Linked DNA regions of Arabidopsis thaliana. The protein of the gene in region 4 interacts with the protein of the main gene of each other region in a pairwise test. Each region holds a gene or a part of one and is shown on either strand. Other genes may lie near its edges.

The links.
Region 1: the proteins of AT1G19450 (region 4) and AAP8 interact in a protein complementation assay, tested with the Arabidopsis thaliana proteins (one large-scale study listed by BioGRID).
Region 2: the proteins of AT1G19450 (region 4) and MHX interact in a protein complementation assay, tested with the Arabidopsis thaliana proteins (one large-scale study listed by BioGRID).
Region 3: the proteins of AT1G19450 (region 4) and GOS11 interact in a protein complementation assay, tested with the Arabidopsis thaliana proteins (one large-scale study listed by BioGRID).

Annotation. Positions count from the first base shown.
Region 1 is NC_003070.9:3,263,892-3,269,370, reverse strand, and holds AAP8 (amino acid permease 8), read right to left. Parts: upstream 3,486-5,479; 5' UTR 3,399-3,485; coding exon 3,074-3,398; intron 2,393-3,073; coding exon 2,299-2,392; intron 2,185-2,298; coding exon 1,970-2,184; intron 1,872-1,969; coding exon 1,729-1,871; intron 1,491-1,728; coding exon 1,263-1,490; intron 1,071-1,262; coding exon 645-1,070; 3' UTR 548-644; downstream 1-547. Other genes in the region: AT1G10000 (Ribonuclease H-like superfamily protein), read left to right, coding at 4,583-5,479. UniProt on the Arabidopsis thaliana protein: Amino acid-proton symporter. Stereospecific transporter with a broad specificity for glutamate, aspartate and neutral and acidic amino acids.
Region 2 is NC_003071.7:19,523,570-19,529,484, forward strand, and holds MHX (magnesium/proton exchanger), read right to left. Parts: upstream 4,012-5,915; 5' UTR 3,743-4,011; intron 3,327-3,742; 5' UTR 3,260-3,326; coding exon 2,869-3,259; intron 2,783-2,868; coding exon 2,607-2,782; intron 2,516-2,606; coding exon 2,397-2,515; intron 2,306-2,396; coding exon 2,133-2,305; intron 1,985-2,132; coding exon 1,869-1,984; intron 1,751-1,868; coding exon 1,534-1,750; intron 1,447-1,533; coding exon 1,317-1,446; intron 1,247-1,316; coding exon 949-1,246; 3' UTR 548-948; downstream 1-547. Other genes in the region: PHR2 (photolyase/blue-light receptor 2), read left to right, coding at 82-163.
Region 3 is NC_003070.9:5,457,868-5,462,226, reverse strand, and holds GOS11 (golgi snare 11), read left to right. Parts: upstream 1-1,867; 5' UTR 1,868-2,137; coding exon 2,138-2,176; intron 2,177-2,426; coding exon 2,427-2,666; intron 2,667-2,864; coding exon 2,865-3,029; intron 3,030-3,159; coding exon 3,160-3,273; intron 3,274-3,395; coding exon 3,396-3,509; 3' UTR 3,510-3,829; downstream 3,830-4,359. Other genes in the region: AT1G15890 (Disease resistance protein (CC-NBS-LRR class) family), read right to left, coding at 1-821; AT1G15885 (uncharacterized protein), read right to left, coding at 1,132-1,257, 1,537-1,677; AT1G15870 (Mitochondrial glycoprotein family protein), read right to left, coding at 3,982-4,144, 4,239-4,359. UniProt on the Arabidopsis thaliana protein: Involved in transport from the ER to the Golgi apparatus as well as in intra-Golgi transport. It belongs to a super-family of proteins called t-SNAREs or soluble NSF (N-ethylmaleimide-sensitive factor) attachment protein receptor.
Region 4 is NC_003070.9:6,730,887-6,736,596, forward strand, and holds AT1G19450 (Major facilitator superfamily protein), read right to left. Parts: upstream 4,139-5,710; 5' UTR 3,748-4,138; coding exon 3,550-3,747; intron 3,428-3,549; coding exon 3,365-3,427; intron 3,254-3,364; coding exon 3,164-3,253; intron 3,049-3,163; coding exon 2,989-3,048; intron 2,901-2,988; coding exon 2,835-2,900; intron 2,746-2,834; coding exon 2,680-2,745; intron 2,585-2,679; coding exon 2,509-2,584; intron 2,401-2,508; coding exon 2,336-2,400; intron 2,251-2,335; coding exon 2,158-2,250; intron 2,082-2,157; coding exon 2,001-2,081; intron 1,919-2,000; coding exon 1,834-1,918; intron 1,736-1,833; coding exon 1,689-1,735; intron 1,624-1,688; coding exon 1,561-1,623; intron 1,467-1,560; coding exon 1,407-1,466; intron 1,317-1,406; coding exon 1,251-1,316; intron 1,155-1,250; coding exon 1,095-1,154; intron 1,013-1,094; coding exon 785-1,012; 3' UTR 525-784; downstream 1-524.

The DNA.
Region 1 (5,479 bases), 3.5 Mb from region 4:
AGTGCAATGACAAATGACCAGGATTAGGGGATGCATCTCTTGGTTAGATGCGCCATATGGGTAGGTAACCGCAAGGCAATTGTTTGGTTACATGGCGGTTATGATGGTAGCCATCAAGTGACATACGACCACAAAACCTTGAAAATGACTTTGTAAGCAAATGCAGAGTAGAAACGTTAATAGAAAACCAAACTTGCCTTGATCCTCTATTGCCCAACTCCTCCAATACATAAGATGTGATAGCAACTTATGTAGGACACACCAAACCAAATAAATTACACAATCTGTGAGTGTCTGTTTTCAAGATTTCCCCGACAATTCCATTAAGCAAAATAAATAATAATAACTCGAAATTGACACAACCACACGAATTTGAAAAAAGCTGAAATCCATATCTCATGGGACTCAAACATCCAATGTTGATTCAATAATTGTAGTCCTAAAAATAAATCAATAACTAATACATTTTCATAAATTTTAGTACTAATACATAAGTTAGCATTTTGGTTTTTAACATAGCTGAAAACAGAACGTCACATTATTTGGAGAAACATTAAGTACTAAATATTTAGCATGAAATAAATTTCATATAATTCATATGGATCACAAGGTTTTTTTTTGGCAAACATAGATTATAAGTCACACTAGTCTAAATTCTTGAAGGGCTTGTATGACTTGACACTATTAATTAAGCCAATGATGGATCCTACGGCGGCAAGGGCCGAGACGATCAAGCAAACCAATACGAGGAGGTTCAAGGCCAACCATCTACGAGAATACTTCTTGACTTTAGCCTGCGCAATGTGCATTGCCACCGGAAAATAAACTGTGAGTGGCCAGAACGCGAATGCCCCTAGCAAACCCAAGATCGCATTGAAGAAGGGGAATATCATTGCTACAAATGTTGTCAAAACAACATAGCATGTCCTCCAAACCAGTCTGAAGAGGTTGACACGACATTTTCCAAGCAAAGGAACCTTTGACGAGTATTCTTTGTTGATGAAATTGCTTTGAGGCCATTTTTTGTTGCAGTTTTCCTCAACAAACTGGAAAAACGGCTGCGCATACACCTGCGAATAATACAGGGATAAAAAAAAAAAAAGAGCATTTTTTAGAAACAATATTTAGTAATAACTCCATTTCTACAATCTTCTGAATTGTTAAAGCTAAAAATTCTAACACAATAATGAGACTTTTAATGAACTTGAACACGGTAAATGTATGTTACACACTTATCCTATTCTTTTGTTTGTGAGTTATACCTGATAGGCACCTATTAGATGGAGAGCAATGCAAGCATTGGCAAAGTCGATGAGCCAATAAGGTTCGTAAAAACCAAAATCGGTAAGGAAGTCACCAGGGGCTTGGTTGCCGAACGCAGCATATCCGATGCAACCACACAAGATGTAGAAAACAGTTGTGGTTGAGACTCCGACAAGACTTGCTCGTTTCATCACTTTGTTCTCTGGTGGGCTTGATCTCAATGTGTCCTGCAAAATAAACAAGACATACTACTAGAGCGTCACTATCTTTAGAGCTTCACATATCTAAAATATGAAACTATTTTTATCCATCATCCATCCATCTATATTTTTTCCTAACTGTCTAATTAATAATAACATCTTATCTTCAAGGTATTCTTATTTTACCTCTCTTTGGCGAAATTAATAATAACAAGCAAATGAAAACAATAGTAAACGGAAGATAGTAGGAATCAGTAGTACATGCCTGAATCTCGATGAGAATAGTGGTAAAAGCGTATGAAAAGGCAATGTCTCCAATCGCTTGAAACAATTTCCAAACTTTTTCAGACGCAGTTACGTCCACACCTATCACTGTCCCTGTCAATTCTGTCTTACCAATCTTCCCACCTTTCATATATATTGTATACCATTTTCACGGTTAGTGTCAACTTTGAAGAATCATCCATATAAACCACTATGTTTTAAGATAAAGAAGGGGAATGTACTTGCTACAGTAGCGATGGCTAGGCCTATTCCGATAGACGCATAAGAGAAGGACATAACCGCGGCGATGATGGATAGGAAAGAGAGCTTGTGGAAGTTAGGAAGCTGGCTCAGAATGATCTGGACGATCCCAAATGCCGCCATGTATGGATAATTCGATACAGAACATTTCGCTTTATGTCCCTTGTCATGATAACAATTTGATTTCCCAATCGCTCTAACGAAGACGTACAAAAACACCAATCAAACAATTATTAGTAATTTTATTCAGAACAACATGTTAGTATAACCATAACAAAATAATCGAAATAAATCAGAATCTTTGACTTACACTAAGCTTATGGAGGCAGTGATGGTGTAACCAATAGTGACCCCTACGAGATTCACGTACTGTGCCACTCCACATAGCTGAACCTTTTTACCACCTGCGTTTTATGTTATTAAAGAAGAAAAATGATTACTCTTGTACTACTATCAAATACTACCAATCTTTTGGTCTTATGGCAAAGTTTCTAAACATCCCGCATAATTCCAAATTTTCAACGAGGGGTCAACAATCGAATTTATAACATTCTTTAACGGGATAAATTGAATTGACTATGTTACCAATCCTAATCAATTTAATTTATTAACTAAGTTATGAAAGAATGAAGATTATCTTCCTTTTTTTTATATAGATTTTGATAATTAATTCATATCTTCCCATGAAAGAGCATGCACACTTGGCAAAATCGTAAATCATTTTTTTCTAACAACCATATTTTTTTCTTTCATTGTTCAACAACAATAATGTTCTTCAACAAATTTACATGGTAAAAAATTGTTGAAATGAGCCAATTATACTGTAGATTTACAAATTCCAACTTAGCATTAAATATATATTTTTAGATCAGATTTTTTTTCTTTCGCCAGCCATCATCATTGTGACAGAAATGGAAGAAAATCAAAACACATGTCCTAAATTGAGACTAGTTAGGCAAAATCTAAATGATATCAAATGAACAAAATCCTTGTTCATCTGAGAAAAAATGTCTAGAAAACTGAAAAATCTGTGAAAAACAATGCTGATAAAGACACAAAATGAATTTGTTTATATGAATCCATACCAAGGTAAGATCGGACGACGCCCATGTAATTATAGTTGCGTGTTCCGGTGATGGAGTCCGGCGAACGGTAACAGTCGGCGAGCAAGGTGGACGTGTAGTAAGTAATGATGGCGAAAGCGACCAAAACTGTGGTTCCTGCCACCCAACCAAGCTGTGCTATAGCCCAAGCCAACGACAGCACCCCTGAGCCTATGACCGCCGTGATTATGTGCGCACTCGCCGTCCAAAATGTTCCCGTTCTCTTCTCTCGACCATCGTCGTCGACGCTTTTCACGGCGGCGTCACCCGACTCCACCGCCGAGGGATTGTTGTATGCGTCCATCATTGTGAGAGAACCACTGAACCAGAGGAGAGAAGAGAGGGGAAGAGAGTTATTGACAGAGGTCGTCTTATTAGAGTACTCCCTCACAATCACGTACTTACATGTATTATATACACAAATATCGATGTTTATATGGAAAGAGCATCTTTGTACGTTGAATCTTATTTATTAAGAGAATCTTCTATTACGAGGATTTATTTCTTTTGACTTTGATTTTGAATGTGTAACCACTATTGCTTATTCCGGAAACAAAAATTGGTCCGCATGTTGAAAAGAGGATTTACCTACATTAACGACACTACGAATAATCGAAATTAGGTAACTGATTAAAATTAGATGAGTAAAACAGAGAGATATTTCCTTCAGATCTTGGCCTCTTGCATAGCTATATCCTCTCTTCTATCTTGCTCATTTATCTTCTCAAATCCTCACATGCACATGATTCATTAATCGGGAAATTAAATCATTAACATTGAGTTATAATGATGTATTGATGTGAATCTATATATATATATTGTTGTATCAACTAAATATTATGATATATCTACAACATTTTGTTATTAGTATCGCATCAAATACAAAATTATGTGGATTTACATGTTTGTATTATATTTTACTACTATTTTAACGGTTTACAAAAACATGTAAACCAAACCATAAATTTCACTAATTTCAATTATGTACGATTTTGAGTCTTCATTACTTCTTATCGTTTCTTTCACTCTTATAGTCTTATCTCACAATCCGTAATTTGTGCACAATTAATGAATTCAATGTTGTATTTTGTCGTATTAAATATGGATTTTGACCAACATAAACCTGATTTTTTAGTGGATTATTTTAAAATATATCCACAAAATATTCCTTCGAATAAAATCCCATTCTAACTATATCCATAAAATGCCCATCCCAATTGTCGAGACAGAATCAGATATCTAAAATGACACATAATAAATGTCGCATATTACACCATTAAAGTACGGTACGTTGACCTCCTACCTGACTATGAACAGCTCATCAGACAGCTCCCTGTGCCCTCAAGTAGGGGTGTGGATAAATTGGTCTGGTTACCGGTAAAATCTGGAGAGTATACCTCAAGATCAGGTTACGGGGTAACATCCTTGACAGTGCTACCAACAGCTCAGGTCCGCTTTAACTGGCAAGCAAACCTTTGGAAACTCCACACTATGCCGAAGATCAAACTTTTCCTATGGAAGGCGGCTGCAGGAGCTCTCCCTGTGGGTGCACAACTCGTAAGAAGGCATATATCATCAACTTGGGATTGTGCACGCTGTGGGGCTCCGGAGACTTCCACCCACATGCTGTTTCACTGTGATTTTGCGGCACAAGTTTGGAACCTAGCGCCCCTCCAATTGGGTCACATCCCTATCGGTACCCCTATTTTGGAAGCTCTTAACTTACTTAAGAAAACCATCGTTCTCCCCCCGGTTGGGATTCATACAGCAACCCTCTTCCCCTGGATCTGTTGGCACATCTGGAAAGCCAGAAATCAGCTTATCTTCCAAAATTCTCATTTCTCTGTGATAGAGACTGTTACAAAGGCGGTTCAGGATGCCTTAGCGTGGCAATCCGCCCAATTGGCGCTCCCAAAAGTTCGTGTAGCGACCCCCCGCCCAAACTCCACAACAACTCTGACTCATGATTTTCTCTGCTACGTGGATGCGGCTTGGCAACAACAGAGCTCCCTCGCTGGCTCTGGCTGGGTGTTCCAAGCAACCTCACACTCGGAGAAAGAAATTACCACCTTCTCAGCCGGATGCCGTCGGTTCCCCTCGCCCTTAGCGGCGGAGGCTTGGGCTATCAAATCGGCGATGCTACATGCTTTACAACTGGAAAGATCCGATCTCCTTGTGTTATCGGACTCAAAATCCATAGTTGATGCTTTGAACTCCAATGTCTCCCTCAATGAGATATTTGGCCTTCTAGTGGAAATTCGATCTATTCGAAACAGATTCCGCTCTATCTCCTTTCAATTTATCCCTCGCTTAGTTAATTCGATTGCTGATGCTGCGGCTAAGCTCTCCCTTTGTATTTCTGGTAATATCGGGCTTGACCCGGGTACT
Region 2 (5,915 bases), on a different chromosome or scaffold from region 4:
TCTTAACTTGCCCCCTAGTAGAAATGTAGAATTTGTATTTTGTCTGATTCTCTCTTTGATGTGTGTTTAAACTTGGAACAGGTTTATAACCAAGAAATACAGCTCAGCGAAGACGCAGGTCGAGGCTGGTCCGGCTACAGCCTGTACCGGTGCCTTTGCTTAAACATTTGAAAACTTTCAGGTGACCGGAAAAGTTAGAAGCGACCTGTTTCTTTGCCCTACTCTGGTGTATGGTGGATTAATTTGCTATCCGGACAGGACTTTACTGCTCTCTTTTGAAACTTGAGTGTCAGGAGAATAAAATCTAAGCTTCTTTTTTTGGCTCAATCAAGTTGTCCGTTCCCTGTTCTAAACATTTCGGATACTCATTCCATAAAAAGTCTCTACAATTTGAGACGCTCTCCTTTGTGGTTAAGACTTGAGAATGTATCTTAGAAAATAACCGAAGTAGTTGTGTCTATGAATATTAAATTCAGGAATATTAAGATGTCACTAATATCAGAAGCAAGCAGCAACTAGAATATGCACTTCGTGGTAAATGGGCATTAGAAATTCTACAACACTTATTAAAGAACCGTACTAAACACTAGTTACTTGGATGAAAGTTACATATAAAAGTTTATATTAATCGACTAAGATTATTTGCTTGACTTTAGAGAAAGTTTGCATATATGTACCACAAATTGGTAACACTGCAAATAAAAAAACAAAAAAAACTGCAGGATAATGAAAATGTACTCCATATATGCACCTCCTAACTAGAGATGAAGCCTCCAAAATCATAGTCAATATGATTTATATTTGCAACACATATTTAGCCAACTGCCTTTGAACTTTGATAATTATATAAAACCCCCTTAACAAGTAAGAAAAACAAAAACTGAGACATGTGCAAGTAAGCTAAGACTTTTTCTTCTACTCATGGGGTTTTTCCTTTTGTTGCTTCTTCTATATGACGCCTGAAACTTTCAAAGAAGAAAGAACAACGAAGACGACCCAAAGCATCATGAAATAGGCAGAAGTAAGCCAAGCCCATAGCCTTGGACCTCCAAGCTCAGCTCCTATAATCAACCTTCTCAACACAAGCACCACGATACATCCCACTGATGTCGCAAAGAATATCAGAAGCGAAAAGCTTAATCCTTTAGCGTTTTCTATGTATAAAGGCTCTCTGTATGCAAAGTAGTTGTAGACTGTGTTTATCAGCCACGGAACTCCAATCCCCACATAGATGTTCACCGAGTTACTGCATAATTTATCACCAAAAAGATCATGAAAAGATCTTCAATGTTTGTAAAGGGTTTTGAGATTTTTACCTGCAGGTGATGTTTGCAATAGCTGAATCTGCGGTTAGTTGTCGCTCTGCAGCGATTTTACTTGCTACTAAGTCTGGCCATGAAGTTCCACTTGCGAGTGCTGTGAATGCTATCACATATGGGTTTATTCCTGCAAGATGAAAAGAGTTTCTAATGTTTTAGAGCTCAAATGTTTAATCTTATAACTTCAGTTTTTGAAAGCGGTGAGGGTGTGTACCAGTGACACAGCTTATAAGGTCAGTAAATCTTGTGACAACAAAGGCTACTCCACTGATGAAGAGGAGAGAGCAGATGAAAGCGATCCAACCGTGAGCAATGTTGCAGGGGGGCACAAATGCAAAAAGCAGTTTCCAAGGGGCGAGGAGTAAATGCCAGAAAGATTTCGCGATTCGAAGATAAATGCTATCCACTTTCTTTGATTCTGATGTTTCCAACTGTTTGATTACGAATAGGAAGAGAAACAAGTTAAGAAAGATGTGTTGATAATGATCAAAAGCCCAAAATAGGATATAGAAGAATCTAGAAAACACTTGGTAAGTTGAAGATTTTTACCGTTATTGCATCCACGAATTGATGTTTCCAAATGTCAAAAACAGTAGAATTCTTCGCCTTACCCTTCTTAGTCGCAGAATCGGGTGGAGTATCTGCCACAGTATGATAAGTGATCCCTGCAAAAGTGTTTGTTACAGGGAAAGTTTGATTTATAACAATATACTACCAGAGATAAATATGGGAATCACATAGATTTGGAAATAAGCAAATACGCTAAAACTGATCTTATATCAATAGAATAGACAGCCTAATCATACTTAGTACCTGTATCATTGTTAGCTGAATGAATAGAGAAGATATCAACAATGTTTCTGCTTCCCGATTCAACAGCATCTTGAGCAGCATCCGAATACACATCATGAACATCATTGTCATTGTCATCTTTGGATGTATCAATCTCCTCTGGAACCCACTCCTCTGGCCTATCACCTCTTGACCTGCAAGTATCAAATACAAACACAAAGATACAATCTTTAGTAGAAATCCATTTTGAAGGAACTAATATTATTGTCTGGAAAAGAAACCCACATTGGTAAAGACAAGTAAGGCCATCGCTTGTCTTGGGCGTACGCATGAACTAGAAGCAATCCGTATTGCAGTACTGTCAATAATGCCTCCACAAGTGTAATTACGTTTGGTGACCACACCTGTGAGACGTGAAAAGAAACAGATTTTTAGACCTTATCAGTATAGAGTATAGACTCAACAGAATCTGTTTAAACCGCTTTTCACAGTTACCTCGAGGATTATGTATAGCCAGATGTAAGCCCAAAAAGACCATACGAGCTCAACTAGCCAAACACCTAAGTCGGATATCTTTTTCAGTTCTCCAGCTTTTGGCACAACGACACAAACAGCGTGGATGGGGAAAAGATCAAATGCAGCTGAGCCAACAAGTGTTCCAGGACCAAGACCTATATGACAAAACATGATATAAGAATTCATGAACTTAAAAGTAAAAACTAGAGTTTTGGAAGGAAGAAAGGAACAACCACCAGACCTCCAGCATACCGCTCCCCCATATTCCGTATTGCATCGATGGTAGCCAAAGAAATCTGAGGGAAGCTAGTTCCAAACGCCAACAAACTGATGTCTGCAATAGTAAAGTTCCAAACTTTCTTGTATGTGATGACTTCAGCTTTAGTAATGGGATCAATTGTAACCACTTTACGGGAATGTTTCACGACATTCTCCATAGACTTGAAGAACCGTGCAGTGATGGCTGACAACCCAATAAAGCAGTAGGCAAGACCGAGAAAATATAACACACCCCTCAAACCATCTGACAAAGTGTTTTCTCCGGGGAATAGAAAGAAGTTTTCACATCTTAAATGCCCAAGAACCTTAGAAGATTCTTGCAACTCCTGGGTTTGATTAAGAATTGAGGCCATTGTAACTTATTCAAACCCCACCTCCTAATAAGTCAACTGAACACTTGTCCTCACTGGGGAAAAGAATCTGGCACACCAAAAAGAAGCTTACAACTTTTAGAAGAAACTGATGAAACCTGTAGCCTGATCGATCGAACAGTATCAAGAGGATGCGAAACAAACGGAACATGCAAAAAGATTTCTTTCCAGAGAATCTGTAACACAAACTAAACATTGCAAAGGATCCAATGGCATGTAACCGAAATCCAATCTATAACCAATGCTAATAACAATTGCATGTTCCACTGTATGCGTAATCAAAATCCAGAGGTAACCAGATCAAAAGATTATAACTTTCATCATGGGTTCAGTAAAACAAGTTGGGTTCTTTTCACAAAACCATAATTTTCAACGAACAAATCTCAACAAAAATAGCTAAAAAATAAGAAAAGAACAGATGAAACAGAGTGAGCCACGCGACGAAATTGATCAATGCGGACGTACCGGAGAATATCTCGGTGAGCGGCATTCACAATACGCCGATCACGGGAGAGATTTTCCGACAAACGGAAATCGAGAGGAGCTGATTGGAATCGGTCAAGCGTTGGATATTGCGGTGGAGACTTGGGAGCCATTTATACACATCTCTCTAATCTCTGCATGACACACTTCAATTATTGTATCGAAACGAGGATTCAAGCGTACATCGACCGACACGTGATCTTATCTAATTGGATGATTTACTTGACTAACTAGGATTAATTAATCTCGCCTTTCTTTGGTAAGGTTTAAGAATATGAGACCTCAATTGCAAGTTTTTTTTATATCTTTTTACTCCCTGAATTTTGTTTCATTTCATCCTTATAAGCATTAGATTTTAATTTCAACCTGAGTAATATTAGTTTTATCATCTCCTCGAGTTTAGATATTATCATAAACATATATCTTACTAAAAACCTGACCTGACTAATTTATTTTCTTTATAAAAGATAAACATGATAAATATGAAGTGTGAACGCATTATCAAATCAGAATTAGTGGATATATATGTATTTTGTTTTTTTCTGATTAAAAAAATTATTGAGATATATACAATTGAACTATGAGGACAAAAAATATATATATATATATATATCTTATTATATAAAGTATGGTTTTCAAAATTGACTTGGCACAGTGTCAAGTCAAACGATTAGATGTTTACATGTGTCATTCAAAATTTAACTTTTTTATTCTTTAAAAAAATAGAAAATCTTAAAAAGTAAACAAATTTACATATACTAATTTATATGTCTATATATTTATAAACAATTAACATTTATTCAACAAAAGCAAAATTAACAAATTTGTCTTTAACTCATGTAATCATAAGTGAAAATAGAACACTTTGAGAAAAATAGCTTAGCTTATAGGATTTAACTTTTCAATTATTTTCATTTATTAATTTTAACTCATTTAATATTAATTTGCATGATGTAAAATTAACTTACGAGATTACGTGGGTGATTGGTTTGTCTGTAACTGTAGATTTACTGCTGTAGAATTTTTGTTGTAGGTGTGATGACTGTAGCTGTAAGTTTTATTGCTGTAGAAATTAGACTGTAGGTTTTATTAATATAATTATTACTTAAAGAAATTGGGTAGAAATAAGATTTTGGTTGTATGTATTTTTAAACAAAAAAATATTATCGGGTCGGGTTCGGTTTGGGTTCGGGTTCGGGTTCGAGTTATTTATATATTGAAATATCAAATTTTGTGTGCAAATCTATTAAATTACTTGAAATTTTCAAAAATTCCCAAAACAACATGAGTAGTTTTGCTTGAATATATCTAAAAATACACAAAAATAACTAAAATATCCAAAAAAATTCTAATATTTTCTATATATAAGTATAAATATAACTAATATATACTTATATTTGAGATATGTTTGCATACCTATTCGGGTTTGGGTTTGAGTTTTTCGGGTTTTAAAGTTTATATCCGTTCGAGTATTTGAAAATTTCGGGTACACCCGCCTAAATAGGCGGACCTTATCTAGTATATATATACATTTGAACTATATTGTTTACTTTTTAGTTGATTTAGGCTATGTATGACATTGACATAAATCTACCTGTTATTTATCACGTGTAATTCGTGTAAAGTGTAAACTAGAAAGTTCAAATACGTATTTGTTTTTGTTCTGTTATATAGGATTGTCATAGTTGTAAATCTACAATTTATTACAACATGAATAAGTACACAAGCAATGTAATTGGATTTAATTGCTAAACTCTTTACATGGTCAATCTAAATTTGATAAGAAATACGTCACATATTACTAAGACTGATAGTTTTTTTGTTGTCACCAATTATTTTTGTTAAATTGACGAAAACAATTCCAAAAACTCAAATGTACAAAATCATACAGTCTCACAAACATCTCATAGAGAAAGATATAAATCTCCCATATGGGAACGATAACACGAGGTCGAAATACTATTCGTAAAACTAAAACGCCTTAGTTATAAATCGTTAGTTGTAACCGCGGTCGAGAATACATACAGATCCACGAAACTACTACTACACATGCTGCTGAATTGGAATTTGGAAAAGACCATCTTCTTTAGGAAGAGCTCACCCAATGAGTGACAAAGGTGTCGGTGGCTTGTTTTCTACCCATATGTATACATCA
Region 3 (4,359 bases), 1.3 Mb from region 4:
CCAATCTTTTCTAAATCTACTTCGCTCCATAGATCATCCAATAACAGCACAAATTTCTTTACGTTGAGGATGTTGCATATGTAAGAGGCTTTCTCCTTTTCTGTAACTTGTTTCCATCCCCTGTGAAGACCTAGTCTTCCTAAAATCTGTTCTTGAATGCCTTCATTTTGCAAATCTTTAGAAACCACAACCCATATAACAAGATCAAATCCATTCATCCCTTCAAGGAATTTGTTGTTAATAGAAGCTAAGAGCGTGGTTTTACCTACTCCCCCCATACCATAAAGACCCAAAGTTCTTCGTTCATCTTTCATGAGGCTGTTCCATGCCCTTCCGACCATTGCATCCAACCCAACTGTGGTTTGGATATGCTTCTTCTCCACCTTAGGCGCAGGAATTTTCTCTGCCACCACTTCAAAAACTCCTTTAGCTAGAAGTCCTTCCACGTGTTTCAACTTTTTCAGTACATTTATTCCGTAATTGCGGCCAGATATGAAATTCTTAGAACAATATCCACAGAGACATAACCTTTCAGTTTGAATTGATTTAGCTTTCAGCAGATCATTGACTTGAGAACAAACATCTTTAACCCTTGAAAGCCAACCTTGAACTTGAGCAAGCCGTTGCAAACCTTTGTCTTCTTCTATGACAACTCTTCTTAACAGATCATCTCTTCTCTCCTCGAGCTCTTGCATAGTATTCTGCAGAGCCTCGAGATTAGCCTCCATCTTGAGAATGTAATTCCGATCACCAAATAAGCAGCCACAAGCATGATTCAACGTTTGATCACAAGATATTTCTAGTGCTACACAGTTTCCCATCTTACTCAAACTTTCAAATATCAAGACGATGCAGGAAACAACACAAGATAAGGAGCACTGAATGGAGAAGAGGAAAAAGAGTACAATCGTGCCCTCCTGATATTGATTAGAAAATTTAAAAGTCAGACTGCAAGTTCTAATATCTTATTGAAAGTGGCAGCTTCAACGAAAAGTCAAGATGCGTGTTCAGATATCCACAAAATGACATTGACCATCAAACATTAAGAAACTATAAGATAAAGTTTTCTATCCACAAAATGATATTGACCATAAAAAAATATGAAGAGCACAACTATCTTTCAACTTTCAACTAATGTAACACTCTGCTACTGTAATTGTTGCCGTAATTACTCAATTCAAGCTCATCCCTTTCTTCCTCTTCTTCAGTATCATCTCCGATATGTTCGTCAATTGTCCCTCCGCCATAAAAAATCTCCTACTTTCACCAAAAAAAATAGACCTTATTTCTCTTTGGAAAAAGTTCGTAATTCATTAAAGAGCAAACACGAAGAACTAAAGCCATTAACAACTCGAAAAATTGCATAATTTTCCCGAGCACCAACAAGTGAAAACACGATGAAATAGTAATCCACAGATTGAGTTGAGATTGATCAAAAGCAATTCGAGGAATTTCTGAAGAAGCAAACAGAAGGAAACCGAACGAGATCGAAGCAGTGAAGCAAAAGCGTAGTCAAAGCGAAAGAGAATTAGTTACCGGCGGAAGAACAAATTTGAAAGCGACGACGGGCGGCAATCGCTTGAATTGATTGTGAGGGAGTGAGACTTGAGAGTGGAAGTATATCCGAATGGAGCAGTTTGATGAGAGAACCCGGTAAGCTTCTAGGACTCGAGCCATCGAGCCGGGTCTATTTTTACTGGAGAACGATGTCGTTTATGTTAAGGTTTACTATTATCCACGTATCGCTTGCAAGTTTGACTAAATGTGTAGGTCAACTTATATATAAACTTACTGTAGGGTGGAAAACACTGGATTATACCCGCCGAATCTCAGGTCATCGAATTAATTAATTTGTGATTACGCAAAACTGAAAAGCAATTTTCCGTTGAAGGGGTACGCAGAAATTCTGTCTGCGTCTCCGAACCAACTCTATCCTTCTCTCAATCCGATCCGTTCCGTTCACTACTTGTCTCAATTTCGAACCAATTGGATCGCATCTTTTAGGGGCTCAAACCTTTGGTGACGAGGACGAGGAAGAAGATTGTCGCATCTGATTTATATCGGAAAAAGGTCTCTTGCCGGAAAGGACACGATCCGCTTTCATAAAGGAGAGATTTTGACAGATTCAGTAGACGCCATGGATGTGCCTAGCTCTTGGGATGCTTTACGGAAACAGGTATTTTTCTTTTTATAAAATTATTGTGTCGTTTGATTCGAAGCTACTAGGTAATTGTGTTGGGGAAGCTGGTAGTGTCTGAAAATCTGTCTTGAATTTCGAATATTTGAGGTCTGAATTGATATCAATCTTCTGGGTTCGATTCGAATTGGGGAATTTATTGGTTTTGTTGGCTAATTCTCAATGATTTATCTTTTTACTGGATCCAATTGATATTTGAATAAGCTTTGTGTTGTATTGAATCCCACAGGCTAGAAAGATTGAAGCTCAGCTTGACGAGCAGATGCATTCATATCGTAGACTTGTTTCCACAAAGGCTTTATCAAAATCAGATGGTAATGAGAGTGATCTTGAAGCTGGGATTGACTTACTTCTTAGGCAACTGCAACAAGTTAATGCTCAGATGCAAGCATGGGTATCTTCTGGTGGGTCAGAAATGGTCTCCCATACTTTAACTCGACATCAAGAGATCCTTCAAGATCTGACACAGGTACTGTTCCTTTCCTGACTCATACCATTTGAATATTTGCCTTATTCTATAGCTTGTGTTGATTATATACTGATTAGTAATGAAATGAGTGTTATCTTTTTAACCATCTGTTCACACTCTGCTCTTGGACTAGTTTATGACTCAACCTTCGTTGTAAATCAGTCTTGTTCCTGTATGTATGACTCATTCAAAATGCAGGAGTTTTATCGACACCGCTCCAGTCTTAGAGCAAAACAAGAGCATGCTTCACTTCTTGAGGACTTTAGAGAATTTGATCGGACTAGATTAGATTTAGAAGATGGATATGGGTCTGAACAAGCCCTGATCAAGGAACATATGGGAATCAACCGCAATACAGCTCAGGTATATAAACTCTCCTTTGCGATTAACCTTTGTTAGACTCTACAGCTGTAGCGTACAATAGGCCTGGCTTTCTCAAGTTAATCGAACACGTCATGACTTATGTGAGCTGACTATTATATAAACGGTGCAGATGGACGGTGTCATTTCACAAGCTCAGGCAACACTCGGTACGCTTGTGTTTCAACGTTCAACTTTTGGAGGCATCAACTCAAAGCTTAGCAATGTCGCCAGCCGTCTACCTACGGTACGAAGAGCTTTCCTAGTCTTATTTACACACTCTTTTGCTCGTTGCTTTCTTTATGTTCGGTTATGGCCTGTGTTTATCCTATATCTCACCCTGCAATTGGATGGTTAAAACCACTGCAGGTGAACACTATTCTGGCAGCGATAAAGAGGAAAAAGTCGATGGATACAATCATTCTTTCACTCGTTGCGGCTGTATGCACATTTCTCATATTCATTTACTGGATAACCAAGTAGAATTTGCCCATTTCTTTCGTTTCATCTTTATGTTGGGCCACGTCTGGTTTTCCCATGATGTCAATTTGTTCTGCAATTATCGGTGTTCTAGTAAAGAATCTAAAGATCAAAAACATAAATATTGTGTACAGAAAATTTCATCCCTGTCTTTGCAGTCTAGACGAGCTTGTTAAATGTTGAGTTATTTTGGAGATGCCACACATACAGTACAACCATCTGTTTCTCTCATCTTGTAACTTTTTATTTGTGGGAGTATGTTGCTGCATTGAAAAGGGTACATGGCGCCTACATGCAATACGGCTTTAATATAATCATTATCATATATATGCTCGCAACTAATCCATATTAGATTTAAATGTCACATTACCTCTGGAAACTAAGAACCATGCCAATAAAAGTCCATCTAAGCCATATAATCATATATCCAAGGGAACATTCATTGGCTGCTTAAGAATGTGGTCGGCAGAAGATTTTATTTTTGCTCAACATAAGATTTAACAGTCTCCATCCATCTAATATACTCAGCTTTATCTTTGTTCTTCATGTACTGATGCAAGAACTCAGCAAGATCATCACTTATACCTCTTTCCTCCAAAAATCGATAAACCGAGTCTTGAAGTTCATCTTCCATTTCCCTGTAAAATTGAACAAAAGACAGTTTAGTTCCATCGTATCAGAAACAAAAAGAAAATGTTTATGTTTAAAAAAGAAGTGATCAAATCACAGTACTGGAATTCAGGTCCAATATAGGCATTTGGTGAGTTCTGGCTGCTTTTACGAACAAAGAACTTGGTGATCTGTATGGTATCAGGCCAAGCAGAACACATGATCTCTAAGGTCTCACCATCAC
Region 4 (5,710 bases):
GTTAAACAAAAGGTTGTTTGTTTACTATTATTGAAGTTTGCTCCAATTAAATTACAGAAACCAAAACTTTCGTTTGTCCAACTTTGCCTTTCACTGACACTCACTCGTGTTGAATGGTGTGAATATGTGAATCCGTTACTTTGAGAATATAAACAAGGAACGGTAACTACAAAAACCATTTTCATGTTCTTGTAACGTATTATTTCGTTACTATCTGTAAATTGTCTAGATATTTTCCTAGTTTATTACTTTTGGAAGAAAATGACCTTAGTATTGTTTACTTGGTTCTGATTTCTTAATGAATGGTCAAATTGGACAGTGGGACATGCCAAGAATGTTATATAAAGAATGATTTTAAAATTGTTATTATATTGTTGTTTTCTTTTTCAAATCGACCGCCGTTTGCATTGGAAATAGTCCTTTCATGTTCGCCAAACAACAAAACTCCCAAAGCAGTTTCTATCACATGGTAGCTTTCCCATTTGGATCCAAAACACTAACATTTGCATTTCTGATTTTCTATACTTAATTCAAGATATTGTTGAATACACAAATATAGTGCTATTAATCTTGAGAATCCGAAAAATTACACACAAAAACAAAAAATCAAATTTAAAGGTATAATGATATGCTTGTACAAGATAAACAAATTATAATCAATGTCAAGAAGAAATACATTGAACAAAGCATGAAATACAGACACAGGGAAGGGACAAAAGAATGATCTGTAATGGAGAAAGCAAAAAGTGAAAATTTTGTCTTCTTCTTCCTCTTCTTGTTTTGATCATCTGAACAAAGCTTGGATCTCTTCAAGCGTTTTTCCTTTAGTCTCAGGAACCCAAAGACTCACAAAAACCACAGTGAATCCACAAACCAAAGCGTAGAGAGTGAAAGTTCCCCCACTGCTCCATGCTAACAGCATATTTGCAGTCATTGTCACTAACCATGACACGAACCAGTTTAACAAAGTTGCTATACTTCCGGCTAAACCCTTTATATTCACTGGCAGAATCTGTTTTACCAACATTAATCAGTATTAAAATTTCCAGTTGTGATTTTAACACTAAGGAACACCATGTTTTAATATTTAGTACCTCAGACATAATCAGCCATGGAATTGGTCCCATTCCTAGAGAGCAAGAAATAACCATAGCCTGTAAATAACTCAGCCAGATTTAGTACACATACCGGGAAATATGTAAATAAGAAAGTATCTTTCGTTGTGTGAATGTATAAAACAAACGACTTACCACAACTCCAACTACGGAAACCATGCTTAGAATGTTGTACATGTTGGAATCAGGTGATACAAATTCCTAACAAAAGATTAAGAAACCTCAATATCTCATAATTAGAGTGACACTCTTACATTGTACAAGTAGAGATGTCAAAAGTTAAAATGTTACCTTAAGGTAAAATGCAACTGCTACAATCACGAGGCTTATCGTCATTCCGATAGAAGAGATCTGCATTTCAGAAGAAAATGCTAATATTATGTTATGCATACATAAATTCTTCAGACTTTGTAAGATATACAGATGAATCTCAAATATTCTTCACCATGAGTAGAAGCCGACGACCTGCTTTATCCACCAACCATGTCGCTATCCCAGTCGCCACTACCTGGTATAGAATGAACAACGGTTAGAAAAATCGAATCTAATGTCTCCTAGATTGAAATGATATACCTGAACAACGCCAACTCCAAATGTCGCCACATTACTTGATGTCACCCCTTAGTGAATGATAATTGCAAACAAAGAAGCATAGTTAGAAATCTGTTTATTCTATCTTAGGACCATTCCAATAATCAAAAAAAACATATGACTCTACCTGCAGATTCAAAAATTGTACTCGAATAGAACAAGACACCATTGATTCCTCCAAGTTGTTGAAGTGCAAGCAGCCCTATACCAACCTGTAACACAGATTACAGGAAAAGAGTGAGTTTCTCTCATGTGTTGACAAAATTAGTTCAAGAGAGGTAAGAGAAATTGCACCATCAGTGGGAAATAGTATCTCCTGCGCTTGAGGTCTACAAACCGAACTGCAGAACGTTTGCTAGATGATGCCACAGATCTCTGCAGAGTGCATAAAATGAAAATTTTAAATAAGACAAGAAATCACATCAAAGCATTTCTTCAGTTTAGTCACTACCTTGATTTCATTAACCTCAACGGTAATATCAGTCTCAAATCCACGAAGAACTTGCAATGAAGTTTCGAAATCATCTGTCAAACCCATCTTTGCCTACAATTACAACACCAAAACAATTTAGGATAACCAATAATGCAACAAACTCAACAATATAAGCAATACGGTTGTAGAGGCATACCAACCACCGAGGAGATTCAGGAATGAAAAAAAGACCCGGTATCAACAATGTACATGGCAATACTCCTAAACATAAAGAAGACAAACAAGAAAGTGATTAGACTGTATCGATCAAAATAAAATAAAAACAGGTATAGTTTCTCCCAAGTCAAGTCAAAATGTTTTGTGAGTTACCCAAAACTGCAAGAATTCTCCATGGAACAAAGAGACCGAGTAAATACGCCAGCATTATCCCAATTGTTACAGAAAGCTATAAACACAAAACATTTATTGTTTAGTGTTAACATATGAATCAGCTCATAAAATGAAACATAAAAATAGTGAAGCTAACTAAACATGACAAACCTGGTTAACTGAACCTAAGGCTCCTCTCATGGTCTGTGGAGCGATCTCAGCTATATATACGGGAACCTAAAATCGCAATTCAAAGGTGTGTAATTATATTGATCACTCCAAACAAACATTGCTGAAATCAAAGAAATAGTTGAATCTAATATTACCGTATAGGAGATAATCCCAACTCCGAAGCCTTCTAACAATCTTCCCATGTAAAGAAAAGAAGTATCCTAAACAAAAACCAAGAACAACAACAACTTAGTAGGTATAGAGATAAGCCAAGAATATCAGAAACTTTGAGAACACCAAAACACTCACTTTTGCAAATGATATCGAAAGCCATCCAATAATATTGGGAATTGCAGCAATCATCAGAGACTGTCAAAAGGAAAGAAAAACACAGTAAATAAGATACAACAAGAAAGAAGATGTTACATGACAAATTGTCACAGATGAGAACATGTTTTAGAATCAAGAAACAAAACTATTATACCCCTTTCCGTCCAACGTATTCAGCAATCTGACCACTCGCAATTGCTCCAACCATAGCACCCACATTGGATAGAGACCCAAACACAGAGTACTAAAACATCAAACAAGAAACCTAAAAGTCAGAAAATTACAGAACAAGAGTCTTTACAAAAAAAAAAAAAAAAAACAGAACAGTTCTTAAATAAAGATGGGACCTTCATACCTCTGATACAGTTAAACCAAGATCCTTAGTAATGGCAGCTTGAGTTGGTGAGGAATAACCACACTGAAAACAAAAAGATAAATCAAAATCAACACTTTCTTAGTCAATTTGAGCAAAAGCAGAGAAATCCACATTGATAAAAAAAAATATAAGAAAGTTGAGATATTTGTTTATGTTGTTCTTACAGTGAATCCGAATTGAATAGGACCAAGAGCAACAATCAAAACACAAGCTAAGACAGAAATTGAGCTGTCTCGAATAACTTGAGACGATTCCAACATACTAGATTGTCTCGAACCCATCCGATACCAACTTCCTGTGTGTAAGAACGGTCGCCGAAGATCATTTCTTCCCTCTTCCGTATTATCATCCCTAAAACTCATCTTTTTGTTTTTCTTAAATCTACAAAACAATCGTAATCTACAGAGAGAAAAAAGCACGAATCTTTCGGAGGATAAAAATGTCGATCCTAAACTAGAAAATGCAGAAGAAGAAAAATACGAAATTTGAGGTAGGATTTGAGTTTTGGGTGAATTCAAAAAGATGTTAGACTTGTTTTGCTTAAGAATTCTTCATGGTTTGTAAAAATTGAGCCTTTGCGTGGAGAGACGCAGACTGTTTCATAGTTTTCCACCTCAGAACGCGTCGCCTAACATCGATTTATAGAATTCGTAAAGGGACCTGTTTTTTTTCTTCTCTGTCGACAAAAAAAAACTTAATTTAAAAACATTTTAATTTGTAATTAAATAAGATATCGTTCATTTTAAATTCTTTTATATCAAATTTAACTATTGTTTTTTTTTGTCTGATTGTCGTTTTCGAGTTATTTTTTGCGCAAAGATAATTTTTTGAATCATTGTCCCATGTTCGCTCACATATACAAGCATTTGTAGTCGCTTTGAATCATTTATTTTCTTCTACATACTTCTACATACTCATTAGTATTATAATGAGCTTTTACAATGTAACTAATTACGCAACAATACTATAAAATTGTGGTACAGGCTGAGACTAAACTATATTGTATTTTTAAGAAAATGTTTTTCTTTTTGTTTAGGTAAACTGTCTACTTCAAAGATATTTTTTGGTAGGAATAATAATTAAAACTTCCCATATTAGAATACGAGGCCACTAGACATTCCTTTTGACAACAAAAAGTGACAATGTCATTTTATATTTTAGCACTTATAATAATAGTTAGCATGCATTATAGAATTCATATTTAGATGTTGTCCTAACTCTTAACAAAATCAGAATAACAATATTGTGGGAGAAAATTTAGCTAAAACTTCAATTTAGGACAAATAATAAGATTATTAAAGTAACACTTAAATATGAATATAATGCTCGAATCCTCCTCTACTTTTTAGCATTTTCGCTACCTCGTTGATATTGATGTCGATAGGTCACAAATATGCAAGTGACATTATTTTATTAGATAAACTCGAATAATTATAGTTTTTGTTTTCTAGTATATGAAAAATATATGGATGTCATTAATTTCGAATACTTCAATAAATATAAATATTTATTCAGATACAACATTATTTATTTATTTTCAATATTTAAAATCTTTGAGAATACGACATGTTATTTCAATGTTTACCAATAACATCCTACTATATTATTTAGGAAATACATTTTAAATATAACTTTATTTTTTTGTAAGTAATTACATAGGTATGTCATTAGAAATAAGATTTTAAAGAGTAAATTAATTTATTTCTTTAAAAATTAAAAGTCAAATACTAATTTAATTAATTAAATTTAACTCAAAAACGAAATACATTATTAATTTCCAAAAAAGTAACCAATTAAAATCAACAAATTAGATTTGATATCTAAATTATCATATTAATTTTTTATTAATTATTATAGTTCACCTCTCATCTTTATATGATTCTATTTTTGCAAAAAAATAATATCATCGTTATAAAAAAATAATTAGAATTTTTTCGCATATGCCACAATTTGAATTTTTAAAAACGAATATAAACTGTTCAATACATGAAAAAATACTATAACGGGTCAAAAGTAGATTTAAGAAATTTTTTTACTGAGTACTGTGTCATAGTTTGAATATTTATATTCAATTTCATACATATTATTTTAAAATTTATAATCTTATATACTACAATAATTAATAACATATTAGATTTTTTAATGTGTATGATGTGATTCAATTTTTAATACAAGCTGAAAAATCCTACAATTGACGGGTTTAAATCAATATTAATACAAGATGATATACTATATGTGAAACTTTAAAATTAACAATCAAAATACAAGTATATAATTTTAAACACTAAACAATATAAATAATATCAACAAAACATATACAACTCG